Caenorhabditis elegans: one gene and its partner. The protein of the gene in region 1 interacts with the protein of each later gene in a pairwise test. Each region holds a gene or a part of one and is shown on either strand. Other genes may lie near its edges.

Region 1 (4,911 bases):
GGAGCGCATCCTTTTGAACTTAGCAAACAATTGTAGCGGCGCAAAAATCACATAATCTCGCGTATTTATAATAAACATTTAAACGAGAATTCACTGTCATCATTTCAGCTTTGGAGCAAGATATGGCCGTTGAGCATACGCCGGAACACGTACGTATCACGGATTCTCAAGCAGTTGGACGACTTTCCACGTTTATTTTACCAGCAATTCCGACTGAAACTCGTCTTCGATTGATTCTCATTTTTATGTTGACTATCGGAAAGGATAAAGATGAACAATACTTCAATCGACTTCTACATCACACCGATATTCCTGAATCGGAATTTCAGATTATTAAGAGAATGCTCATTTGGAGAGATGTCAGAGTCTTTTTTAAAATTGTATTCATCTTCTTTTTTCAGAAAACTCAGAAATCTCAATTCCAACATCGCCGACCACCACCAGAAGACGAGAGGTTTATCGCGAGTCGTTGGGATCCGAAAATCAAAAATCTTATCGAAGAAATTTACGAAAGACGATTGGACGAGCGGGAGTTCAAAGTAGCTGGTAAGAAATCGACGTCTGACTTCCGGCCGGCAGCAAGTGCGAGATATGGAAGTGGATTGGCTGGAAAACCACGCGAAAAACGAAAAATTATCATTTTTGTCGTAGGTGAGGTGATGTTTCGTTGATATATTCTGATTGGAAAGCATTTTCAGGCGGAATCACATATTCTGAAATGAGAGTCGCCTACGAGTTGTCGAAAAAGACGAACACAACAGTAATCCTGGGATCAGACGAAATTCTAACGCCGTCGTCTTTCCTGGAGTCGTTACGAGATCGAAATACTGTAAATTGCTGAAAATACTGTATTAATGTCCCCGAATATCGCTTTGTTTAAATAATATTCACAAAAAAATCTCGTTTTTCCATGTATATGATGCCATTTTCTATTTATCTCAAATAAACCACAGTTTCTATGAAAACAAAAACCTTCATTCGTAAATTATTAAGTCTCGTTACGTGGAAGTTGTAAAATCTATTTAAATTGCCTTTTCTATTGCCGAACAATTTTTCCGCGCGCCTGATTTTCTTTAAACCTCAAATAATCTTCCATTTCCTGATGTTGAAGTCGTGGAGCTGACATTGACCATTTCTAAAACAATAGAAATTTATCTTGAGACAAAATTGATTTTTTTTTAGCTCACCCGAATTTCCATAGCACCGGTATAGGCACAATACGCACCAGTTGTCACAAGCAAGAAAAGTCCAGAAGCGTAAGCATGAGCTCGAATTTTAGATGGAATTCTCATTTTTACGGATATTATGAGAGAAGGGAATCGAGGTTGCGTCAAAAATGTAGAATCGTTAAGAATTTACTCGGGTACGGTATGCAACGGTGTTTGCAGACTAGCAGGCTCATACACTTTCACGCGCAATTGCACACTTTAGGGTCATACGACTTATTTTCTCCATCAAATTTTCGTCAATTTTCGAATGTTTTAATATTTATTTGTGATTTTAATTCGTATATTCTGATAATTCTAAATTAAAAACTTATTTATACGGTCACATTAACTTATCGGCGAGATTAATGTTGCAGAAATTGGCGTTTCTTCCAGTTTAGGCCTAGAGTTAATTTTAAACAAATTTGCACAGTTTTTGTAGCGTTATTCTTTTATCATCTGTGTTAACAATTTCAGACGTTCATATGGAATTGTAAGGAATTTCAATCTCCGGAGAGGGGTCCTTCTGACACGGGGTATCTTGTTTTGTTCAATGTATTTCTTAATCCCTAACCTTTCACTTGTCATTTTCAAAACTTTACAACATATTTCAGAATCAAACAAGGGTTACACACAGTCGTCATTGCTCAAAATGACGTCGATGTATAATTTCAAGCGAATTACATGTGTTCCCAATGCACAGGTTTGTTCTTGTTCTGATCATTGAGAAGTTATATTTTTCAGGAACTGAAAGATGTGGTTCTCTCAAAAACGCAACGCAAAACACCAACCGTCGTGCATCGCCAATATTCGATTGGAAGAATCCGTGCTTTTTACGCAAGAAAAATCAAGTTCCTACAGCAAACTCTGCATGACAAGCTCACGCAAATCATCACAGAGTTCCCGAAAATGGAGGAAATTCATCCATTCTACTCGGATCTTATGAACATTCTCTACGACCGTGATCACTACAAAATCGCTCTTGGACAAATGAACACAGCTCGTCATTTGATTGACGGAATCGCCCGTGAATACGTTCGTTTGATGAAGTACGCCGACTCGCTTTATCGTTGCAAAATGCTCAAAAGAGCCGCACTTGGACGTATGGTCAAGCTGCTAAAGCGACAAAAGTCCAGCTTTGAATACCTCGAGCAGGTCCGTCAGCATTTGTCTCGCCTTCCAAGTATCGATCCAGCTACTCGTACTCTCATTCTTTGCGGATTCCCAAATGTCGGAAAGTCTTCATTCATCAACAATGTGACACGTGCTGATGTTGAAGTTCAGCCATATGCTTTCACTACAAAGGCTCTTTATGTTGGACATCTTGACTATCGTTTCCTCAGATGGCAGGTAAGTATTAAGCGAATTTCTTTTGAACCTTGATAATAATTCACTTTTCAGGTTATCGATACCCCCGGAATCTTGGATCAGCCACTTGAGGACCGTAACACCATTGAAATGCAAGCAGTTACCGCATTGGCTCATCTGAAAGCATCAGTGCTCTTCATGATGGATGTTTCAGAACAATGTGATCGTAGTATTGAGGAACAACTTCATCTCTTCGAATCGATCCGTCCATTGTTCGCCAATAAACCAGTTCTTATTGGTTTGAACAAGGTTGACATCAGACATCGATCTGATTTGCCACCAGAGAAAGCTGCATTGTTGGATCAACTGGAGAAGGAAGGAATTCCAATTATTGAGACATCTACACTTACACAAGAAGGAGTTATGGGACTCAGAGATCGTGCTTGCGATGAACTTTTGGCCCAGCGTGTTGAAGCTAAAATTCAAGCCAAGAAGATCACAAATGTCGAGGATTGTGTGCTGAATCGCGTATTCGTCGCCTACCCGGCTCCACGTGACGAGAAAGTTCGTGCTCCATTTGTTCCACCAGGTTTGGCCGCAAAAAGAGCTCAGAAGAAATTGCAAGAAGCTCAAGAGCTCATGGAGACTGATGGAGATGAGTTCGCAGCAAAAATTCCACAAAAACCAGGCAAAATTGGAAAGGAAAAGATTGCAAAGGGTGGATCCCAATCCACCGATCTTGGAGATCTTCGTGATGAGAACACCCGTCGTTTGGAGAGAGAAATTGAGTTGGAAATGCAAGATGATTATATTCTGGATCTTAAGAAACATTATATGCTGAAGAATCCTGATGAGAAGTACGATATTGTTCCCGAAATCTGGGAAGGACACAATCTTGCTGACTTTGTTGACCCGGAAATCCAGTCAAAGCTTGAGAATCTGCTTCGCGAAGAGGAGCTCTTGGAGCAAGCCGGAGAGTATGAATCAGATTTGGATAGTGATGATGAGGAGACCAAGGAGAAGTTGAAGCTTGCATTGCAAATCCGAGAAAAAGAAAAACTGTTGACTTTGGATCATGCCGTTAACAAGAGAATTGCCGGAAGAATTGGTTCACGTATTCATGGTTCAAGAAAGAGAGATCGATCAATGTCTAGATTAGAGAATGAGCTCGGAGAGTTAGGTGTAGATGTTGACACGAAGAAAATGAAGAACTTGCAAGGACAATGTGCCAAACCACAACTTGGAAAGAAGGTTTGTGTAGAACCGAAATCTATAATTTCGGTTTCAAATTAACATAATTTTTCCAGATGAAAGTGGGTCGCTCGCGCAGTCTCAGCGCCGTCCGTCCGGCTCCACGTGATGAGTTGGCATTCCCAGACGAGGAAAAACGTGCACATGTCGACAAGTTGCGTACGAAAGCAATGCGTGGATTGCGCCGAGAAGCCAAGAAGGGAGAAGCCGATCGTCACGTATACGACCTCAAGCCAAAGCATTTGTTCTGTGGAAAACGTGGAAACGGAAAAACCGATTGGCGTTAAGAACATATATATCTTTTGTTCATTTTTTTTTTGTTATTTTTGTTTTGTTATTCTGTTCGTTTTTTTTCGTCTCCCTGCTTTTTATTCCTTCCAAAAACTGTATACCCATCCATCCATTTTTACCTTCTTCTCACTGCGTCAATCGGCTTCTCGCCCACATGAGTTTCCCGAATAAAATTCTTCCTGATATTTTTGTAGATTCTGAATTATTTTTTTTCTTCGATATTGCACATTTTTTAGCATTCCGTTGAATTTTTCGCTGTATTAGAAAAACTATTTTTTAATTAACTCTTCAGATGGGCAAAAAAAGAAAGATTACGGATGAAAAGGATGCTCAACACGTGCCAGCTGAGAAACGAGAGGTTAATATCACATTTTCAAAGAAACGTAGTTCTCAAACACAAATTAATTGCAGAAAGTAGAAAATTGGTTAAAGAAATCTACGGAAAAACCAACAAGTTCACAATCTGACGCTGAAAAGAAAAAGAAACGTCCATGGCGTAATAAGGTCCGTAAACTTGCCGCAAAAAAGGCAGCAGCTGACAAGAAATCTGAAAATCCAGAAGAACCTCCGCTGATTCTCGAACCAAAGAGTTCTTCGGATGAAAATACGAAAAAGAAGAGAAAACGGGGCCCAAAAAAGAAGAAGTTCAAGCCCGAAGTTGCTGGAAAAGCTGCTGAAACTGAAAATGATGACGTGGCAGCAGCTCCAGAAGAAGCAGATCCAATTGCAGAGGCTAAAAAGAGACTTGACGCGGGACGATTCAGATTTCTGAACGAAAAACTCTATACATGTACTGGTTCTGAAGCATTTGATTTCTTCAAGGAGGATCCGACGGCTTTTGATCTATATCACAAGG
Region 2 (5,672 bases), on another chromosome or scaffold:
AGTAACCCTACCGTATACCTACAGTACTCCTACAGTACCACTACAGTACCTTGACATTATCCATCACCAACTTCCAACCCAATACCTCTTCCAACTACAGACTACAGAGTTCAAAGACCAAAGATCAAAGATCAAACTACATAGGGACAGAAGGACACGCGCTTTATATATAGTAAATGATTTGTATGTTTTTTCTTTGGAAAAGTGTCTGAAAATTTACAAACATGTATTAAATTTAGAACAAAAAATCCAGAAAAATCATGATTTTAGCCAGAAAACGCGAAAATATAAAAAATGACGTCACTCATTTGCGTGGGAATTTAAATTCAGTTTGGCCACATTTTGATATAGGCAAAATTCAAAAAAAATGTTAAAAACTTTTTAACAGTTTATTCGGTCATGACGGTCGTTTTTCTGCCATTTAAAGTGAATTTCAATCGAACACAAGTGTCTTGACTGACAATATTCATGAAATAATCTTCTAATATACCGTAAATGTTTTCAACAAAAAAATCATCAATTAAAATAATATTTATTAGGTATGTACATTCCGAAAGCTCGACAAGAGGAACAGGCAGTATTCAAAAAACAACACTCTAATAAGATTACAAAAACATTGTTTTTAGTTATTAAATTTGTGATATTAAAATTATTTGCAAAAACTTTTCTTTTAAAAAAACTGAGAAAGAATGCCGGGAACTTGAGATCAATGGGATGATGATGGTGAGAAAGAAGAGGTAAAAGCTCATGAGAAAAAACTAATTTTAACGACTACAAGTATTGTGGAAAGTTGGTCCTGAAGAGGTAGATGTGCGGGGATCACAAATATTAAATATGCATTTCTTGAGCACTACAGCTTGTCAGGAATGCCTCCGTAAAGATGGTTGTGTCGGAGACTTGTGTTGTAGAATTGTGAGGATGACATGTCAGATTTAGCGTAAAGTATGTCTGCCGGTTGGTATTTGGGTAAAGATCGGGAGGAACCTAAAATTATTAAATTAATAAAACTTGTTTAAACTCAAGCTAGATTCAACTTACCCAAACAGCAAATAGCATTTTTCCACGACGATAGAGTTTTGGTGCTGCACACCCAAAATCCGGACGTCCATCCCAAAATGCACATACAGCAAGTTTTGATAAGGGAGATGATCAGTGAGGAGTCGCCTGAAAATTTAAAATTTATGAAGAATAATAGGGGGGGGGGGGGGGGTTCAAATTTCAGAAAAAAAATTTGGCGAGAAATTTAAAATTTTTGAAAAAAAATTATTGACACTAATTTAACATTTTTTGAGGAAAAAAATTTGGCGGAAATTCAAATTTTCTGAGAAACTTTTTGACAGTAAATTTAAATTTTTTTCTGAGAAAAATTTTAGCTGGAAGTTCGAATTTTTGAAAAGGAAATGTGGAAAGAAATTCACAATTTTTGAGGCAAAATTTTGCGGAAAAATTAAACTTTTTGAATAATTTTTATCATGAAATTCTAAATTTCAGAGAATATTTTTGGCGGTAAATTCAATTTTTTCGAAATAAAATATTGGCGGTAAAATCAAATTTTTAAAAAAATGTTTGCGGAAAATTTGAATTTTTGAGAAAAAATGTTTGGTGGAATTAAACAAATTTTTGGGAAAATTTTTAGAAAACTCGTTTTTTAATTTTCTAAAAACAATTTTAGCGAGCAACTGAAATTTTTTAATGTGAAAAAAATGTTTACTGGGAAATTTAGATCAAAAATTGTTATAGTTTAAAAAAAAACTCACCGATAGTTTGCTTTGGCGAGCATGAGCACAACTGCGATTGCTCCCATAATGATCGATGATTCTGCTCGTAGAATAGAACACAGATAATCAATAACGATGGAATTGTGTAGAGCAATGAGAAAATCCCGATTTTGCTCATCAACTGCGTGATTTTATGGGCACTCTCCAGTGAAGGATGTTGCTTTTGTACTTCGTTTCTGATACTCCACAAATTGCAGAATCCGATTACCAAGAACAAAACTCCAACGATGAAATATACGAGCAATGGGAAAAGCACAAAGATTCGTTGGAATTGTAGATCAGTATTTCCCACGTAGCAGATTCCAGTTATCGGATCACCATCGATCGCATTAAAAACTATTACCAATACAGTTTGAATAGCGGGAAGGCACCATCCGACCACGTGGAAATGGAATGAGAACGAGGAAATCGCTTCGGGGGACCACTTTGAAGCGGCCGACAGCACCCAGGTTAGCGAAAGGATCACCCACCAAACCGAGGCAGCCATTCCGAAGAAATAGGTGAGCAGGAAAACGACGAAGCACAAGGATCCAGAGTTATCATCAGCCCCCTTAATCCTCATCGAGTCGCATGCGATCTCCTCGTGGCCCACGAAATATCGAATCATGAATCCGACGGCAACCATGAGCTGACAGAATGCCAACATGAAGATCGGACGTTCGGGGTATTGGAATCGATCGGTCTCGATAAGGAATGTGAGGAATGTGAAGGAGGCTAGCACGCAGCATGTGATGCTCCAGAACGCCATCCAGTTGCTCACCAGGCTATGACTCTCGGCCAACGCTGGGGAATGGCATGAGTAGGCGCAATTTGTTACATTTCCAACTTTGGACTTTTCAGATGCCACAAACTGGAACGGTTGGTTACAAGTGCACTGACACTCGCTGGGACCGGCTATTACTTCATTGTCGATCTTGGAAATTCCGACTTCTGGGCCATCTGGACTATAGTTATGATTTTGATTTTGATTCTGGTTCTGATTCTTATGATGATGCCCCTTGTGCTGCTTCTTTGGTGTATCTGGTGGAGCTGCACAGATGTTCCCAGTCGACATCTGATCCGACATCTTTGGCAGCGCCTCGCAAGACAGTGTCTCGGGCCATCTGAATCCGTACTTGGCCATTATTGGACTGCACTTGCTGCGTGCCTCCACACAAAGTTCCATGCACGGGAGAATTGGTTTGTCGTAGTTTTCCTGGCAGATCGGGGTGTACATTGTGCAGAGGAAGAATTTGAGATGTTGGAAACAACCGACCTGGAAATATAAATTTTTTTTTGATTTTTGGAAGAAGGTAAGTTTTTCAAATTTACTTTTTTCTTGATTTTTGCGAAAAAAATTGTGAATTTGTCGTAATTTAGAGCCTAATTCAATTTTGCGTTTTTGCAAATTTTGAGCGCGAAATTTAAATTTGGATTTTATTTAATTTAGCTCAAAATTTAAATCTAATTTTTTTTCAACAACTTTGGCACTAAATTAAGGTTCACATTTTTTTAGTATATAACAAATTTAAATTTATAATCTTGTTTAAATTTTAGCGCCAAATTAAAATTTTAATTTTTAAATTTTTGGCGGAAATTTCAAATTCAGATTTTTTTAAATTTTTGGTGTGATATAAAAATTTCAATTTTATTTAAAATTTAGGGTTGAGTTTTTTCAAAAATTTGGCGCAAAACTCATTCTGAAAAATTTAAATTTTCAGCGCGAAATTCATATTCGGATTTTTTTTTCGAAAATTTTAGCGCCAAGTTAATTTTTTTTTCAATTTAGCGCAAATTCTAAATTTGGTGTCTTTCGAATTTTTAGCGCGAAATTCAAAATTTCTCAATTTGTGGTGCAATATTCAATTTTTGTTTTTTTCATTATTGCAAAAAATATTTCCTCATAGAAAATTGTTTAAAAAACTCACCTCCACCAGCGGATAAAATTGATGAACTTCCAATCCGGCTTCTTCCTGTTTTTCATGTCCATAACTATTCGGGAACGATGTCATATTGTAGCCAATACCTTTGCATAGAGGAATTGTGATTTGCTCACATTTTTGACGTTTTCCAAAAAGAGCCCCACAGGAGCCAAGCAATAGGAACAGCACGCTGATCCGGAGTAGCATATCTAGAAATAAAATGTTAATTTTGAAGTTAAAGATATTAGAAAAGGTATAAAGAAAAAGGAAAGAACAAAAAGAAAAACAAAAAAAAAGATAAATGAAATTTGAGATTTAAGTAGCTGAAGGTGGAGGAGAATAAGAAGACAGGAAAAGTACAAAGGATGCGCTTCCTCCTGAGGAGGGAGGATCGGTGTCAAGTTACGGGAGTTCTTAGAGAAAATGATCCGTTAAAACACAAAAAAATCAATATCCACGTAGCAAAACTGTGATCGCTTATCACTATTTACCGAGTACTACTACTATCATGACACAATACACACAAGAGCTTTGACCTAACATCCAGTGATCAGCTATCGGATCGGTATCAAAAATATAAGAGAGAGAGAGATACCCAAAGAGCACTTTTTCATCATACAGAGCATCAAAAGCATCAAAAAACCAGTAAGGGGAAACGATTTTTTTGCGGGAAATAGTGGAGGATATGTGGAGAGAGTGTTTGCAGGCACTCGAAAAATATATCCAACCAAGATATATCGGAAAGGTCTTTATCAAATTAGATATGTTTTTAGCTAAATTCTCTATATTTAGATCTGGGATGAAATCTGAAAAAAGAATATACAAATTTATGAAAATGAGAAATAAATAAGGCTCAGGATACGAGAATTTTGTTACGTGCTGGGGTATGTAACCTAGTTGTGCAAGCATAGGGGTCTCAAACGGAACACGAATGGAATTCAAGGGGTGTCAGGTTGCATAAGAAGAGCCTAGAAAGAGGAGATATGTTTTGACTCTACCACCTCCAACCAACAACTACTGAAGTTATGTACATATATATGAATGAGCTGGGGGAGATGGAAAGGGGGAGGAGAGAAGAGTGTGCAAATAGGGGAGGGCAAAGTGGTGGCTGGCAAGGAGTTGGAAAATTTTGGAAGGTGCTAAAAGGAGGAGGTGACCCCCACTGTGAGCAACAACAGGTGGAATGGAGGATGGGTTAGAGATGTGGATAGGGCTGAAATTATTATAGGTGGAGTAGCGCCAGTAGGGAAAGTGTTAAAACTACTGACTTGGTGCCAAAATAGCCGAATATTAAGATAAAACGTTTCAAAAACTTTTTGAAAATTTTTTATTTACTGGCAAAAAATGACAATTACTCAATAGGCAAAAACTCATAATTTTGGAAATCGATCAAAATAAATTTTTTGCCCTACATTTTCATACTTTAATTTTGTTTTATTTGTTTGTATTAAAACATTGTAGGGGTCGGAACATGCGACCGGAAATTATTTTTTTAAAAAAATTTTAAAGAGTATTGGCATGTGTTTTTAAAATGACCAAAAATTACAGTAAAAGCTTTTAAAAAATTTTTTTGGAATTTCTTAATGCACTGAAATAATTGGAACAAATTGCATATTTTTCTTCAATTTTTATATTTTAATTGTTTTTTTTATTAATTGTGGAAATTTCCCAAAAGGTACACATTTTTTAAAAATTTGGCAATTTACGAAAACTGACTGGAATCTTTCAAAAATCTATATTTTTTGTAGTGTTTTTACTGATGTTTGGTCATGTTAGACAACCTTCAAATAATTTTAATTTTAAAATCGCAAATCCTGAAAACTACTAGAAAAAAAGTTCCGACTCTACGAAAAGTTGATTAAAAATTAAAAATGTACTGATAAATTATACAAAAATTTAGAATTTTTCCGATACAAAAACAAGTTTTCGAAAGTATAATTTGTTTTTGAAATTAAAGAAAATTCTTTTTTTAAAACTATTTTTAAAAAAGTTA

Evidence for each region.
Region 2: the proteins of nog-1 (region 1) and cfz-2 interact in a two-hybrid assay, tested with the Caenorhabditis elegans proteins (one study listed by BioGRID).

Annotation. Positions count from the first base shown.
Region 1 is NC_003282.8:392,198-397,108, forward strand, and holds nog-1 (Nucleolar GTP-binding protein 1), read left to right. Parts: upstream 1-1,682; 5' UTR 1,683-1,741; intron 1,742-1,819; 5' UTR 1,820-1,857; coding exon 1,858-1,908; intron 1,909-1,949; coding exon 1,950-2,555; intron 2,556-2,606; coding exon 2,607-3,764; intron 3,765-3,820; coding exon 3,821-4,051; 3' UTR 4,052-4,223; intron 4,224-4,347; downstream 4,348-4,911. Other genes in the region: uncp-18 (Syntaxin-binding protein 1), read left to right, coding at 109-359, 402-651, 699-841; T07A9.15 (Cytochrome c oxidase assembly protein COX14), read right to left, coding at 1,037-1,135, 1,188-1,292; rrp-8 (Ribosomal RNA-processing protein 8), read left to right, coding at 4,348-4,413, 4,467-4,911. UniProt on the Caenorhabditis elegans protein: Involved in the biogenesis of the 60S ribosomal subunit. Has a role in regulating longevity, growth and brood size. May regulate fat storage via the insulin/IGF pathway.
Region 2 is NC_003283.11:3,440,990-3,446,661, forward strand, and holds cfz-2 (Frizzled-2), read right to left. Parts: upstream 3,889-5,672; 5' UTR 3,887-3,888; coding exon 3,686-3,886; intron 3,034-3,685; coding exon 1,758-3,033; intron 1,165-1,757; coding exon 1,039-1,164; intron 985-1,038; coding exon 851-984; 3' UTR 515-850; downstream 1-514. UniProt on the Caenorhabditis elegans protein: Receptor for Wnt proteins.